2 linked regions of the Notamacropus eugenii genome follow. The protein of the gene in region 2 binds, or shares a complex with, the protein of the main gene of each other region. Links are inferred from orthologs where the notes say so. Each region holds a gene or a part of one and is shown on either strand. Other genes may lie near its edges.

Region 1 (7,232 bases), about 470 Mb from region 2:
CTTGGAGACAAAGATGTCAGTGTTCCTTTCTGCCAGTGTCAATGGAATGGACTTTTCCTCATAAAGAATGGATCTGTAGTACTTTATCCAGTGAATTTTTTTTATAGAAAAAGAGTATAAAACAGTGGCATCAAACACAAATGGAAATGGGGACTACTAATCTATACATCGATACCAAAGCATATTGGCTTGGTTTCAAAATATAATCTATGTTTTAATGTACTTTTATTTATTTTGTTAAATATTTCCAAATTATATTTTAAACATTTCTGGTTTAGAATAATCCTCAAATGCAAAATACATTTGAAAACTACTGACATATCAAAAACCAATACAGTAATACAATACTTTCTACAGAGCTTTGAATTACTAAGTGATTGAACAAAAGAATTCTGGTTAAAAATGTGAAGTTAGGATTAAAATGACTTGTGATCTTGTCATTTCATACATGTGTACTATAAACAGCTTAAAATGTTTGAATAAACTATCAGTGAATGAGTAGGCTTTTTGTTACAGTAGCCCAATTTTTAAAATAAACAAGTATCAATAATGAGTCTTAGCTGAAGGTTTTAGAGTTTGCTGGACTTTTTATTTCAAGAAGTTGGTAACTTGTATCTATAGTTTGCTTTGCCACTTTTACTGGCCTTAAAGTGAAATTAGATTTGCTTTTATAATAGTAGCACTGCAAATACTATATGTATCATATAGTCTATATCTATAGACTATATATGTCTACCACATTAGAAAAAAATTCAACACTAGTAAAATTATAGGAGTACATGTAAAAGAACAGCTTATAGTTGATATAGATAATGATCTCAGAAAACATCGAGTGACTAAAAAACCCAAACACAGAATTCTGAAAACTGACACATTAAGTTACATTACAAATGTTTAAAAAATTGACATTTTATTTTCCATTTCGCTCAATTAAGTCTTTACCAGACATCCAATACGGTAGATCCCTGAGATACAACGACAAAAAAAAAAGCAGGCCCTATCTTAAGGATCTTAATTCTATTGTAACAATAACAGACCCTCTCACAGATAAGCAAAAAAATTAAACCACACATATACTATGGAATGTCTGTGCTAATTATTTCATACATACATATATGTATACAGACATATGAGAAAAAATTCAGCAAAACCCTTGAAAGTCAATTTACACCTGGAAGTAGATCCAGTGGTTACTGTCATTTATATTCTTCAATTTAAAAAAAAAACCAAATTATTTCGTTCATTTGATGGATAAACTGGTAAATATTAGCCAATGATGATACATTTATCATCTGTGATGACAATCTTCATCTTCTGTTGGTCTGACATGCCTATTTAGCTTCAGTTCTAGTTACTTTTGGGTAAATATTTGTGTTCTTTAATGACAAATCTTTCTAATGAATAGCTCATAAACAAATGATTAATAAAAAGATAACACCAAAAATATTTACACAAATCTGTTTAGCCTGAGGTTAACAAAACTGTTACATAGAATGTGCAAAATCTGGTTGGCAGCATTAGCTAAAATAATTCTACTTATTATACTTAGCAATCATGATCATGTGCAATCAATTGGTTTTTCCTCCTATAGTCATTGATCTCTTATCCAACACTGGATAAGTTTTCTCATTTTGCTCCAGCTTTTTGTAAGCCCTTCAACCACTGAAATGTTCCAATAGTTTTAAAGGTTAAAAAAAATGAGCAGTGGAGAGCAACTCAAACTCCAGTTTCAGCATCACTCAAGGCTACAAAGCCTAACTATTTTTCCTTTCAAGTGACTAACTGACCAGCATCCTCAGGAAGCCTAAGAATACTTTTTGGGATAGGAACAAGATCGAAATGACATCTCAAGCACCTCCAAACGAAGTATTCCGAGGGTCCAAACAGAAAAGGCCAAACTATCCGAGGTCCAAAATACGGGAAAAGTTCTCGTTTGGGCTGATAAGTGAGAACCTGTGCCACAGGCTGATAACCAGTCCACCTACCCTTTTCCTTTGCCCAAGGAAGCCCGGGGTATTCTCCCCAAGGCTAGGCTCTTCTATTAAGTTGGATCAACTCAAAAAATAAGGCGTGTGTGTGTGTGTGTGGGGGCAGTCTCGATGGGGCTAAGACCAGCTGGGGCAGATTCGTGATGGCCCCAGGCAGAGCTGGGGCTCTGGCCTGGTTATCCCGGAGGCTGGGATGGGCAGGTCCCCAGATCACAAAGCGGGAGAGCTTCTCCCCAGAGGAAGCCTCTCAAGCGCAGCGGGCCATCCCCACTTCCCGGGGCCCGCACCTGTGGACACGGAGCCCGGCGGGGGGAGCGTTCCCGCCACTCCCGGATGGAGGCATGCAGAACCCCCGGGGTCCCGGGGAGGAGGAGGGGAGGGCGGCTGAGAATCGCTCTTCACAGCCCTCACCCCTGCGGAGCTCGGCCGCGGGCGGCTGGGGGAGCGCGCCCGGAGCCCCTTTCCGGGCCCCCATCTTCAAGCCTTGCCCTCCCTCAGGCCCCAGGCCTCCCACCCGGCCCGTTTCAGGCTCTCCTTGCCGCTCCCGGGCGCTCCCAGCACGACGGGAAGGGTCTGAGGGCGTCCCGCCCGAGTCCTGCCTGAGCCCTAGGGTCCGAGAGCGGACCTGGGTTGGGGGGGCTCGAGGGCGGCCCAGACACCCACACTCACCATCCTCCCGCCGACTCCCTCCTCTGCCTCCGCCTCCTCCTCCTCCTCCTCCTCCTCCTCCTCCTCCTCCTCCTGCTGCCTCCCCCGTTACCAGGGGCAACTGCGGCGGCACCGCCCGTCCCCGGCGCGGGCACCGCCCCGACGTCCCGCCGCCACTACACGCACAGTGGGCTGGGGCGGAGACACCGAGGAGAGAGAAGGAGAAAGGGGTCCCGCGAGTCCCTTCCCAAGAGAGCGCAGGCGCACAGAGACGCAATCCAGCCCGAGCGTCCGGCCAAGCCCTTTCCTGCGCAGGCGTACTCCTTTTTCTGCTTTAAGCCCGAGAGGGCGGGGGGAAGTAGGTGATGGAAAGTTGCCCACGTGGCCAGCCAGGGACGGCCCCCTCCTGTGATTGGTCCGGAAGCGGAGGCGCGGGGGGCGGAGCCGAAGGGGCGGAACGCTCCTGGGAGGGGCGGCAGTCTGTGTGAGCGCGCTTTGCTTTCCGCTGTCTGTGTCGACGTCTGGCCTGGCTTCAGGTTTGGCTTTTGGGGAGCGGCCTAGGGGCGAGGGTGGACGGGCGGCACGGACTAGCCTGACTCTTCCCGCGGGCTCCAGGGCCCCTGGCTTTTAGGAGGGGAGATAGGTTCAGGGCGCGCAGACTCCCAGCGTGGTGCCAACGGCTCAGTTCCCATGTGCTGCGGCTGCCACAGGGTCAACGTGGCAAAAAAGAAAAGGGGGGGCCCCACGTTGGGAAGACTGGCACTGCTCTTCCAAGCAGCCCCTAGGAAAAGAAAGAGGCAGCCGTTCCCCCCCAGTGCGAACACTTTGGCACTGGTGGAGGAGGCCCCTCCTCCGCGCATGCACTGCCCCACCCCCACATCTCAGAGGCCTGTACTCAACTGAATCTCCCTAGAGGTTGGGTCGCAGGAGGCGGTGTCTTGGAGGTCTCAGTGGGGGCAAGTCTGGCAACTGTGCCCTGAGCGTGGATCCTGGGAGCCACGATGCTCTGGAGTCCCCACAAGTCCCCAAGCACCTACCCTGGAAGCCAGTAGATGCTGCCACACTTCTGCTAATGATGACCAGGATGCCTCCTTAGAATACTCATCCCAGGAATAAAGTGGGGGTCTTCCAGGGCAGCTTGGAGGGCCAGAACAACGTGATCTTGTTTCTTGTCTCTTTGGAAAGGGGGCCTGGACGTGTAGTGAAAATGTGGCCACTTCAGAAATACTCCTTCTAAGTAGTCTGAAGCTTTAATGTAACTGATGACATCTGCATAGCACCTTAACGTTCACAAAGAGCTTTGTGGCTGTTGTTCAGAGTTGTCAGATTCTTCCTGACCCTACTGGCCGTACCTGTCCATGGGGTTTTCTTGCAGAGATACTGGAGTATTTGCCACTTTCTTCTCCATAGGATTAAGGTAAACAGAGGTTGACTTGCCTAGGATCACATAGCTGGTAAGTGTCTATGGCTGGATTTCAACTCAGGTCTTCCTGACTCCAGGCCCAGACCTATCCACTGAGCCCCTAGCTGTCTCCTTCATAAAGAGCTTAAATTACTTTATTTGATGCTTATATTACCTGTTGAGTTAGATAGTACAAGTATCATTTTCAGATGAGGAAACTGAGCAACAGGGACTGAGATGCAGGTTCCATGTAGCAGATCTAGTAATGGACAAGCTCGGATTTGAACCCATGTTTTCTGACACCAAATTAGTATCTTTTTTCTGTAACCACACAGCTGTCTCTTTGGAGGAGCAGAGATGGCTTGGGCTTGGAGATTTTAGGAAGTTATGTGTCTTTAGAGTTTGTAGGATTTTCTTCTGGGTCACCCTCTTTAAAAAAAATTAGTGATATATTTTCTTTTTACATCACTAGCTTTCTGGTGTATTCTTTTCCCCTGTTTAGAAAATCATCCCTTATAATAAAAATGCTTTAAAAAAAAGTTCAGCAAAACTACCCAACGTATTGTAAAAACCTAATATATGTAGTATTCCATACCTATACCTCTTTTCTACAAAAAATGGCAAAAGTGGTCACCCTCCTAGCTCTCATTTTGGCGGCAGGCAGGAGCCAGATTTTGATAGCAGTAGGCTTTTAGATTTGGCTGGAGTCAGTGGACTTTGCCCACAGGATAACTAATTAATCGTTTATTTTGGGTGTATTTATAGAACTAGACTTCTGTGCTTTATGGTGCATAATGGTTTTTATTATTGCAAGAAAATTTTATTGTCGGCACTTAATTTCAGGGTTCAGACCAGGCTTAAAGCATCAGGAGAAGCTCAAGTCAAACTGGCAGGAAGGCAGGCCCAGCTTCTAGTCATGTTTCAGGCTCTCTCCAACATGCACTCCCCCAGCTCAACCTGGGGGCCTACTTGCAGTTGCAGCATAGCCAGGGTCAGGGTAGTTTTCATGGCATCCAGGCTGTATCCTCTCTCCTCTAGGGCAGTTTTCTGCTCAGGCTAAAGAAGGATGGCCTCTCTTCCCCCCTTTCTGTTACTGCAGAAAACAAAACACTTAGCACCTATTTATCCTTTGTGAGCTCATGTTTGGAAAGAGTAGCATCTTCCTCAGTTAAACTAGATATCTAGGGTCAAGTAGGATCAGGAGGCTTATTGGTAGAGGTTGGCCAGATGGTTGACAGCAGCAGAGGTGTTATTATCTGTGCATAATGGTTTCAAACATTGGTTTCTACCTTACAGGACTCTTCAATTGGCAGACAAGACATATCCTCCTGTAGTATATGCTGAAGTGGTTTATCAGCCAAAATTCCAGACAATCCTCAACTGCTGCCTAGTGGTCTCCAGACTACTGACTCTTGTGCCAAAGAGATAATGGAAATTTCTGTTTCAAAACACCCTAAATGTTAACATTTTGTTTACCAGAGTTGGTGGGTGTAAGCATGAGGATGAATTAATAGCTTCATATTTCCCATTTTTGAGGTTGTTTGGGCAAACCCTAACATCCAGATGTTTTTTGTTCAAAAAGAAGTGCAGACTAGTAGTTAGTCATTGACCCCCAGCAAGGGATTGATGGTGAGCCATTAGAGCCCTTTGTACCTCCTTCCTACCCAAGGATTATATGCCTTCCTTTCTTGCTTGCCTAGAGAGTAAGGCTGTGAGGGTAAAGTTCTTAGGAAAGGAGAAAATTATCTGTATTTTTTCTGTCCAACAGAAGGATCTCCAAAAACTTGATAGCGAAATGCTACTACCTCTCAGGACTGTTTGCAGTCGTACAGCAGCACTTTCTTTCAAGGAGAAATGTTGCATTAAAGAAGATGGCATTGAAGTATAGTGGAAAAGAACACTGAACTAGGGACCTGGAGATCTGGGTTCTAGATCACTTGGCTGTCTGACCTTGGACAAGTCAGTTCCTTCTGTGGATTTCACTTTCTACCTCTGTAAAATGAGGGCATTGAACTCCAAGGTTCCTTCCAGTTCTAATATTGTATATTTCTAAGGGGAGGAAGAATGATTCTTTTGGGTCTGTGAGGTGGGAAGAGTTAATTAGTAAGTCATTTGTCTCATTTTTTCCTTATCCAAGCTAGATAACTGAGTACCATCTGTGTAAATATCGTTCCCTTGGGTTAGCAGCAAGGCTCAAACTGTCTTTCCTGACCACCACTCCAACTGAGATCTTGCTTGGGATCAGGATTTCACCCTCAGTCAATCAACAAACATTATTAAGTGCCTTTTATGGGCCTGGCATTTTGGTATGTAATAGGAATATAATTACAAAGAATAAAACAATAACTGATTTCAAGGAGCTTACGTTCTAATAGGGGTCTACGTTATGTACATAAATGTAGAACCTGGCCCTGGCAATGCCCCATTATAATTCCCTAGACTGGCTTGTTCATTCCAACCAATCCTCACGCAGACAGGTCTGAGATTCTCAGAGAGTGAGGTGCCACAGCTGACTCAAAAACTCCCTCCAGGTCCTAGGAATCACCTTTTGTGAGCTGCTGTAGCCCTTCTACTAACCACAGTAGTTCCTGAGCCCCCATTGTTGTGCTTCCTGTTTATAGGGAATCAGTCTGTATTACATTACTGATTCTTGAATATAAAACATATTTAATGATGAAGCAAAAGCAAGAATAATTATAAAATCCATGTTATTCAGTATGAGGTAAATGCAAGGATAATCACAGCATTATAGTCCACCAATAAACCTGGGTCACAGTCTTCGAGTAATGCACCTCCATGTTGGTGGTGAAGAGTAGATACATAGAAACCCCTCCCTTTTTTTTAAACCACAAATGAATTAATTTATTTATGAATGAGTCAACAGCACTGCTTTCCTTCCAATAGTTAAATATAGCAGACAAGTAGAAAAGTCCCATTTTTAATATAATTTACCTTCCATCAGAACAGGCTGCTAACTGTAGGCAGTGTCTCCCCTATCTCTCCTACAGTCAGAGTTGTACTAGGAGAGCCAGTCTCATCTCCAGCAAGCTCTTCAAACCCAGCGTAAGCAGTGTCAGAACTTCCTCAAGGAAGTACAGAGCCTATAGCTATGCCCCTTGTCCTTTGTAGAGTTTAAAATGAACTGCAAGCCTGTCAGTGACTGCTTAACCGCTACCCCCAGCCCCAGCACACTG
Region 2 (7,088 bases):
CCCATGTACCTGTTGGGTTTTTCATATTCAAATGTTTCTCCTGATTTCTGCATCGTCATCCAGGACACAACACAGATGACAATGGGTTATCCGCAAAGGCTGTCTTCTCTTCCGCCTCTATACTCTTCACTTAGTGTTCTCATCAGCTCCTAAATATTCAACTATCATCCCTATGCAGATGATGTTAAAATTTATTTGTCCTAATCCTAACCTCTCTCCTGACCTCCAGTCTCACATTTTCAAATGCTTTTAGGACACCTTGAAGAGGATGTCTTGGAGACATCTTAAACTCAATATGTCCAAAACTGATCCCATTCTTTCCCCTGCCTCTCAAACCTTCCCTTCTTGCTAACTTCCCTGCCACTGTCAAAGAGTACCACCATTCTCTTAATCATCTAGACTTTTAAATTAGGTGTCATCTTCAACTCCTTATTCTCTCAAACCAATACTTCCACCCTCATGTGGAATCAATGGTCACGTCTTGCAATCCTAGCTCCTATATGCTCCCTTCTCTCTTCTGACCCTGAAATCACCCTGCTACATAGACCTTTATCACCTTACACCTAGATTACTGAAATAAAACTGGTTTTGGTAGGTCTCCTTGCCTCAAGTCTCTCCCCACTCCAGTCATCCTCCACTCAGCTGTCAAACTGATCTAACTAAAAGGCAGGTCTGATCATGTCACCTCTCTATGCAATCAACTCTCTATGCCTCCAGAATCAAATAGAAAATCCTCAATTGGGTTTTTAAAGATGTCCATAACCTGACCCCATTCTACCTTGCCAATCTTCTTACATCTCACAATCTACCACATTCTTACATATCACAATCTACCATAATCTGCAATCAATCCAGCAAGTTTCCCCTTGCTGTTCCTCACATGACACCACCTTCACAAGACACTCCATCTCCCACTGAACATTTTCACTGTCTGCCCCCCATGTTTAGAACTCTCTCCCTCTTCATCTCCAATTCCTAACTTCCCTGGTTTCTTTAAAATCTCAGCTAAAGTTCTGCAAGAAGCCTTTCCTAATATCAAACTTAATCTCATTTCACAGGTGAGGAAATTTTAGTGTCTTCCCTTTGAGATCAGCTCCAATTTACCCTGTATGTATCCTGTTTATACAAAGCTCTTTGTATGTTGTCTCCTCCTTGCCCATCCCTTTAGACTAAGCTCCTGGACAGCAGGACTGTTTTGCCTTTCTTTGTATGCCCAAAGTTAGCACTGTATCTGGCACACAGCAGGCACTTAATGTTATCTGACTGACTTACTGACATTAGTAATTAATGAAGGTTTGTCGAAGCATAGCTACAAAGAAGAGATATCTCCTTTGCAGAGATGGAAGATCCACAAGAATTGCCCACTGGGTCAATTTTCTGACTTTTGGGATGTACTGATCAGTTATACTAATTTTTTTCCTCTTTCTTTTCTTGTTTTTAAAAAATATCATTTGTTATATGGAATGGTTCTCTGAAAGGGGGAATGATAATAGAACTATGATGATGTAAAAAAAGACTTTTTATTACATTTGTTTAAGATTTAAACGTATTTTAGTTTTCAACATGCATTTCCACAAGTATTAAATTTATTTAAAAAAAATAAATACTTGGTGACAGATTGGCTCAATTCCTTTTAGAGCAAGAGCATCCCTAGGTGCTCCTTTCTTAAGAAAAAGGTATTTCATGGCATAGTCCAAATCCTCCCTTCCAAGAAAACGGCTTTAAGCTCAGTGAATCCCTCTGGGGACAGAGAGGGATAGGAAAGCGTCTCCATCCATCACTTAGTTGTTGGGGTAAAGTTTTCAACCAGTTAAAAACATTTCGGTACCCTTTATTATGGCTTTTACTTTTTCTTGAGGCAGAAGCCTGGAGATTTAGGGTTATAGTGGGGGAAGGGAAGCTTTTCATGTTTATGTTGTGCATTTTTTTCTTTGAAATCAGGAAAGCACTGGATGAGCATGGGAATATGGGAGGAGGTGGGAGTGGAAATAGAGGATGGAGGGATAGGAATGGAGAGTAGGAGAGTAGGGTAGTTAGGCTGCAGGAATGGAGGAGAAGATAAAATTAGGGGAGTGAGACTTGGAGAGTGGGAGATGTGTGAGGAGGGGATGTTGGAGGTGGGGATGGATTTGGGGGAGGGGAGGAGGCCAGGAGAGGAGTGTGGAGGTGAAGTGCGAAGAGGAAGGTGGTGGGGTGCGGATAGGAATAAAGGTAAGGAAAGGATGACGATGAAAATGGAGTTGGGGAGAGTGGGGAGCCGGGTGCGAGCTGGTTTAGAGGCGGGGTGGAGAGGGGTGAGGAGGCGGGACAGAGATGGAATTGGGGAGGGGCAGTAGGGTGTGGAAGGTGGGGGTGGAAGTGGGTGAGGAGAAGGGAGGTGGAGAGGACGTTTGGAGGGAGCTTCGGGGGGAGTCATACCAGCTTCAAAACAACCCCTAAATGTAGCCGACGTGTGGGCCCGACCTCGTTCCCTTAGCCAGAAGAGGATAAAGGAGGGGAACTGTTCTGGGGTCTGGGTGCCCCGGGGAGTGGCGGGGAAGGCGTCGGCCTTTACCTTCACACTTCTGTTCCAGAAAGTCCAGGATGGGGATGGACCAGTCAGGGCCGCGGAGGAAGCCTGCGATGCTCTCTACGACCCACTCCACCTCCTCATCTTCTTCTGCCGCCATGGCCCTCCCACCCTGCGAACCCCAGGGAGAGGCAGCTCTGGGCCCAGACGCCCCAGTCCGCGCTCTCCGAGGCCGGATCCGGCTGCCCCACCGAGCCCTGGGTTGGCGTGGGGGGGAGGGGTACCTTCCCAGAACCAGCCGAAGAGCTGCCCCAGAGACCCGGATGGAGGGCCCAAACCGGTTTACTTGAAATGGTCACTATGACAACGTACGTAGCCGCCCCCGCCCGGGAGGGTTCGCTAGGAAAGGAGTCCCGGCGCCAGGCGCGGAGGGAAACTGCAAGGACACTCTCGATTGGCTGGAGAAGGACTAGGGAGACGGCGAAGGAAAGCGCAGAGGTCTCTTTGCGCAGGCGTTGAGTCGGGGAGGTTGGAGAAGGAGCTCTCCCGTGGAAGTGGGTTTGAAGTCTGCGCCGCCATGTACGGGAGCGATGTCTTGGGGGATTCCCATTTCCAAGCAATAGCCGCAGGAAGAGGAGGCCGTCTAAAGGACTAAAGTAACAGCCAGGAGAGAAAATAAACCCTGCAAACTGCCCAGCCTAATCTATGGACTCCCTTAATCTTGGCAAACCCGACTTCAAACTTTACCTTACTAGCCAACGTTTACATAGGATTCCAGCGCTTACGAAGCGAGGTCTCATTACCTCAAGTCACAGGACTGCCCCTAGTTCCTTATTTTCCCTTTCCATCAGCTTTTCCTTTTACCCTTCTGGCTGTGTTCCGAAGTGAGTTAGCTCTTTTTGGAGTTTTTGCCAGTCTGGTGTGGTGTTCCAGCAGCACTTTCTGTATTTGAAGGGGCGCAACTTGGCAACATTTTCTTCTCATATATTCATTCACTAACATCATCTCGTGTTTATTTAGATCTCAAAAGGGTTACAAAGTATTTCCTCAAAGCAACTCCAGTACAAAATGTATCAGTATCTTGGAGGTTAAGTGACACAACAGATAAAGTGTTGTAGTGAAGAAGACCTTCTACTGAACCTAGCCTCAAATTCTTTTTAAGAGCCTGAGCTTGTCAAGTCACTTAATCCCAGCCTTAGTTTTCTGTAAAAAATAAGAGCACCTACCTCACTGAGTTGTTGTAAGGATCATTGAGATAAGGGAAGTAAAGCACTTTGCAAACTTTAAAAGACTGTATAAATGCTAGCATTATTGTGACCTGCCTAACTTAAAAACATGGGAGCTGAATGTAGGAATGCTGATTTGGAGCATAGTGTTCTTTCCACTTCAGTTAGATACCTCTAAAATGACTTTCTATTCTTATAAGGGAGATTTTCCCCATTTTTCAGTCTGAAAAGTTAAGGCAATCAAAGGGATAGCTGAATTGGAAACAAAAACCCAGAAAATTCTGTGAAGGGCCTTTCATTATAGCTAAGACCTCCACCACAACTTTAAATTCCTATATCTTTTATTTTTAAAAAGAATACTATGAGACAATATTGGAGGGATTGTGGAAAAATGGACAAACTGGACAAACTAGCCACTGTTGGGAACCGTGAATTGTTTATTCTGGAAAGCAATTGAGAATGATGCTTAAAAAAAAAAAAGTGACAATGTTTCCATATCCTTTAATCTAGAGATCTCACTCCTAGTCGAATACTAAGAGGAGGTCAAAGGTGTCCTCTATACTTCAAAATGTATGTTTAGCAACGCTTTTTGTAACAACAAAAAACTGGAAACAAAGTAGATTCCTATCCATGAACTTAAAAAAATTTATACAACTCATTCAGAGAAACATGCAAAGATTTATATGAACTGATGCAAAGAAAAGGAAGTAGAACCAGAAATTATATATATATTCATTGACTACAACATCGTAATTGGACAAAACAAGTGAAAAAAAAATGAATACTCTGAAACCCTGGCCCACCTTGGCTTCAAAGAAGAGCTATGAGAATATGCCTTCTTTTCTTTCCAGGGGTATCTGACTTGGTTGATGTGTCAGTTTGTTTTACGGATATATCAGCTGACAGTTTCATTTTTTATTTTTCATTAAAATTGAGAGATGTAGATGATGTAAAAACAAAAGTTACCCATGCACATTTAAGAGGGGAAAAAAGAGTATTGTTGCAGACGAATTCTAACAAAAAAAAAATCCTAGCTATTTATCCATGACTCTCTTAATAATAGTTTGGTCTGGGTATTTTTTGTTTGTTTTTGGAGCAGAACTGTGATTTTGTTGGCACAGGCAACTCCCTCGATGGAAATGCTTTTCACTGAGGCAAATATGCAACTCTTCTATAAGAAATGGTCTTACTCTATTCCCTTTAAGCCCGGAACCAGGTTCCTTCCCCATGTCCTCTTCCAACTATAGTAAACCCTTCCTGTATTCTTGATCTGACAGGTAATATCCCTTTCTTAGGGGTAATCTTAAAAAATACCAGTGGCAACAAAAGCATTATTTTAAAATGTAAAGCTCAATCCTACAGAAAGCTTGTTTTTGACCTAGTTAATTGCTACCTTTGGTGTTCTGAATTCAGTTTCTAAATAAACAAATAATAAGACAACTATTTTAATCCTGTAAGCTACCATTTATCTAGGCTATAGAATGAGTAAAAAAAAAATCCTAAATTATATGTTCCTTGCCAATAGTTTCGCTTGATTACTTGTTTTATATAATAGCAAGAGGGTGGAGAAACTTGCTGTGGGTTGGCAAATAAATGATTACCTGCCTCATTTTAAAATTCTTCAGTGATATCTTAGGTTTGGGAACTCTGTTTAGGATCCTGTCTCTGGCATACCTGTTCTCAATAGCATCAGAGAACTGTTACACATTTTTTCATTCTAAATATTGTTTCTAATATAGAAATTTTTCTATAATATATACAAAAACCTTAAGTGTGCAAATTAAATTGCAGAAGGGAAAAGGATAGTCTAGTGCGTAGAATTCTAAATTTGGAATGCAGAGTTTGCACCTATGTCAGACACTTAATAGAAAGGTGGTCATGGACAATTTATTTAACTTCTCCAAGCCTCAGTTTCCTCATCTGTAAAATGAGAGTAGAGTAACTTTAGTACCTAGTGCATAGGGTTCACAGAATACCAGAATTTTAGAGTCAGAAGGAATGCTAAATTCCAGCTGGTTGGTTTTTAAAGCTTAATAATTAAATAATAATATTTCACATTGATTTCAGGTTTGCAAAACAATTGCCTTACAACCAACCAACTTAAGTAGTGAAGATATTACTATCCTCTTTTGCAGATAAGGAAACAGGCCCAGAAACACTGAGTAATTTACCTCAAGTAATATAACTGTTAATGATTCCAAACTAGGTCTCTCAACTGAACTGGACAATTCAACAAGCATATTTATATTAAGCACTCTCTAAGTGCAAAGCACTCTGCTAGGTTCTGGGAACGGAACCACAAAAAAATGGAACAGCCCCTGCCCTCAATGAGTTCTCACTTGAAATCCATTGTTCTTCCCACTAGACCTATTATATCATTTTCAGGCTGTTGTGGACTCCCCCCTTTTTTCTTTTCTCCCAATCCTGAGCATTCTCTGATATTTATTCTTTGTTATAGCTATTGCTCTTAACTCTATCCAAGACTTCCTTTATTCCCTTTTTATACCAGTTCTTTAGTCTGTCTTATCTTCTGAACCTTTTACTCTTTGGGTTTATATCTTCCTTGTCTAGACACATCCGTGCTATAGACTTGTATCATTTCATGTTTCTTTCCCCTTAATTTCAGTGACATTTGTTTAAATTAAATATATTTAATGGTAATTTCAAAATCATCTAGTTGAGAGGCCCTTAACCTGAAATCCGTGAACTTACATTTGTAAATATTTTGGTGTATATTTCAATATAAGGTTTCCTTTGTAATCCTGTGTATTTTATTTTGTGCATTTTAAAACATTACGCACTGGACTACAAGGGGGACTTATGACACACACAAAAATTTAATCACCCTGGATTTAATCCATTGTTTCTTAGATTTAACCATCTTCTTTAGGGCTTGAAATACATAGATAGAGCTGTAGCTGCTGATTTGCCATTGTGGAATGTCCCTGGGATAAAGAAGAAAATCCTAGAAAATCTGAAGCAAAATAAAAATAAAAAGCCTATTTTAATAATGAAAAAGTTGCTGTGCATAACAAATATCTTTGACAAATGCATAATTACATGAGTTTTTTTATTTGTTAATATTTATTTATTTTGAACTTAAACATAAAAAGACAAAAAAAAACCATTTCCATTGATACATGCAGTACAACATAAAGAGGATTAGGTATAGAACCATGAATTTCCATTTGACAGTTTACTTTGAAAAAAACCCTCTATAGTAAATACTAAATATCCTTTTCAAAGCTACACTAATTTTCTGTGCTTCTAAGTTTTCTTTTGTTCTTTTTTCCTCCCTCCCTACCTGGTCTTAGAGAAGGCTACTATTAGACACTAAAATATATATATGTGCT

The links. The genes of interacting proteins can lie anywhere in the genome.
Region 1: the proteins of CFAP36 (region 2) and ARL3 are in contact, whole or in part, in a crystal structure (PDB 4ZI3), measured with the Mus musculus proteins. The link is inferred for Notamacropus eugenii from reciprocal best matches to the Homo sapiens genes CFAP36 and ARL3. Residues at the interface, in NP_080016.1 of Mus musculus: Glu44, Glu45, Ser46, Lys47, Leu48, Thr51, Glu52, Lys58, Val61, Glu62, Leu65, Glu76, Phe79, Gln80, Cys83, Thr84, Ala88, Lys89, Leu97, Val100, Leu101, Ala103, Glu104, Asp105, Phe106, Thr107, Ile108; in NP_062692.1 of Mus musculus: Leu3, Leu4, Ile6, Leu7, Arg8, Lys9, Leu10, Lys11, Ser12, Arg19, Lys35, Glu40, Pro47, Thr48, Gln49, Gly50, Phe51, Asn52, Ile53, Lys54, Trp66, Ile74, Tyr77, Ser80, Tyr81.

The regions. Positions count from the first base shown.
Region 1 is NC_092872.1:180,917,649-180,924,880, forward strand, and holds the start of ARL3 (ADP-ribosylation factor-like protein 3), read right to left. Parts: upstream 3,010-7,232; 5' UTR 2,661-3,009; coding exon 2,658-2,660; intron 1-2,657. UniProt on the Homo sapiens protein: Small GTP-binding protein which cycles between an inactive GDP-bound and an active GTP-bound form, and the rate of cycling is regulated by guanine nucleotide exchange factors (GEF) and GTPase-activating proteins (GAP).
Region 2 is NC_092872.1:650,732,719-650,739,806, forward strand, and holds the start of CFAP36 (cilia- and flagella-associated protein 36), read right to left. Parts: upstream 3,002-7,088; 5' UTR 2,670-3,001; coding exon 2,555-2,669; intron 1-2,554. UniProt on the Homo sapiens protein: May act as an effector for ARL3.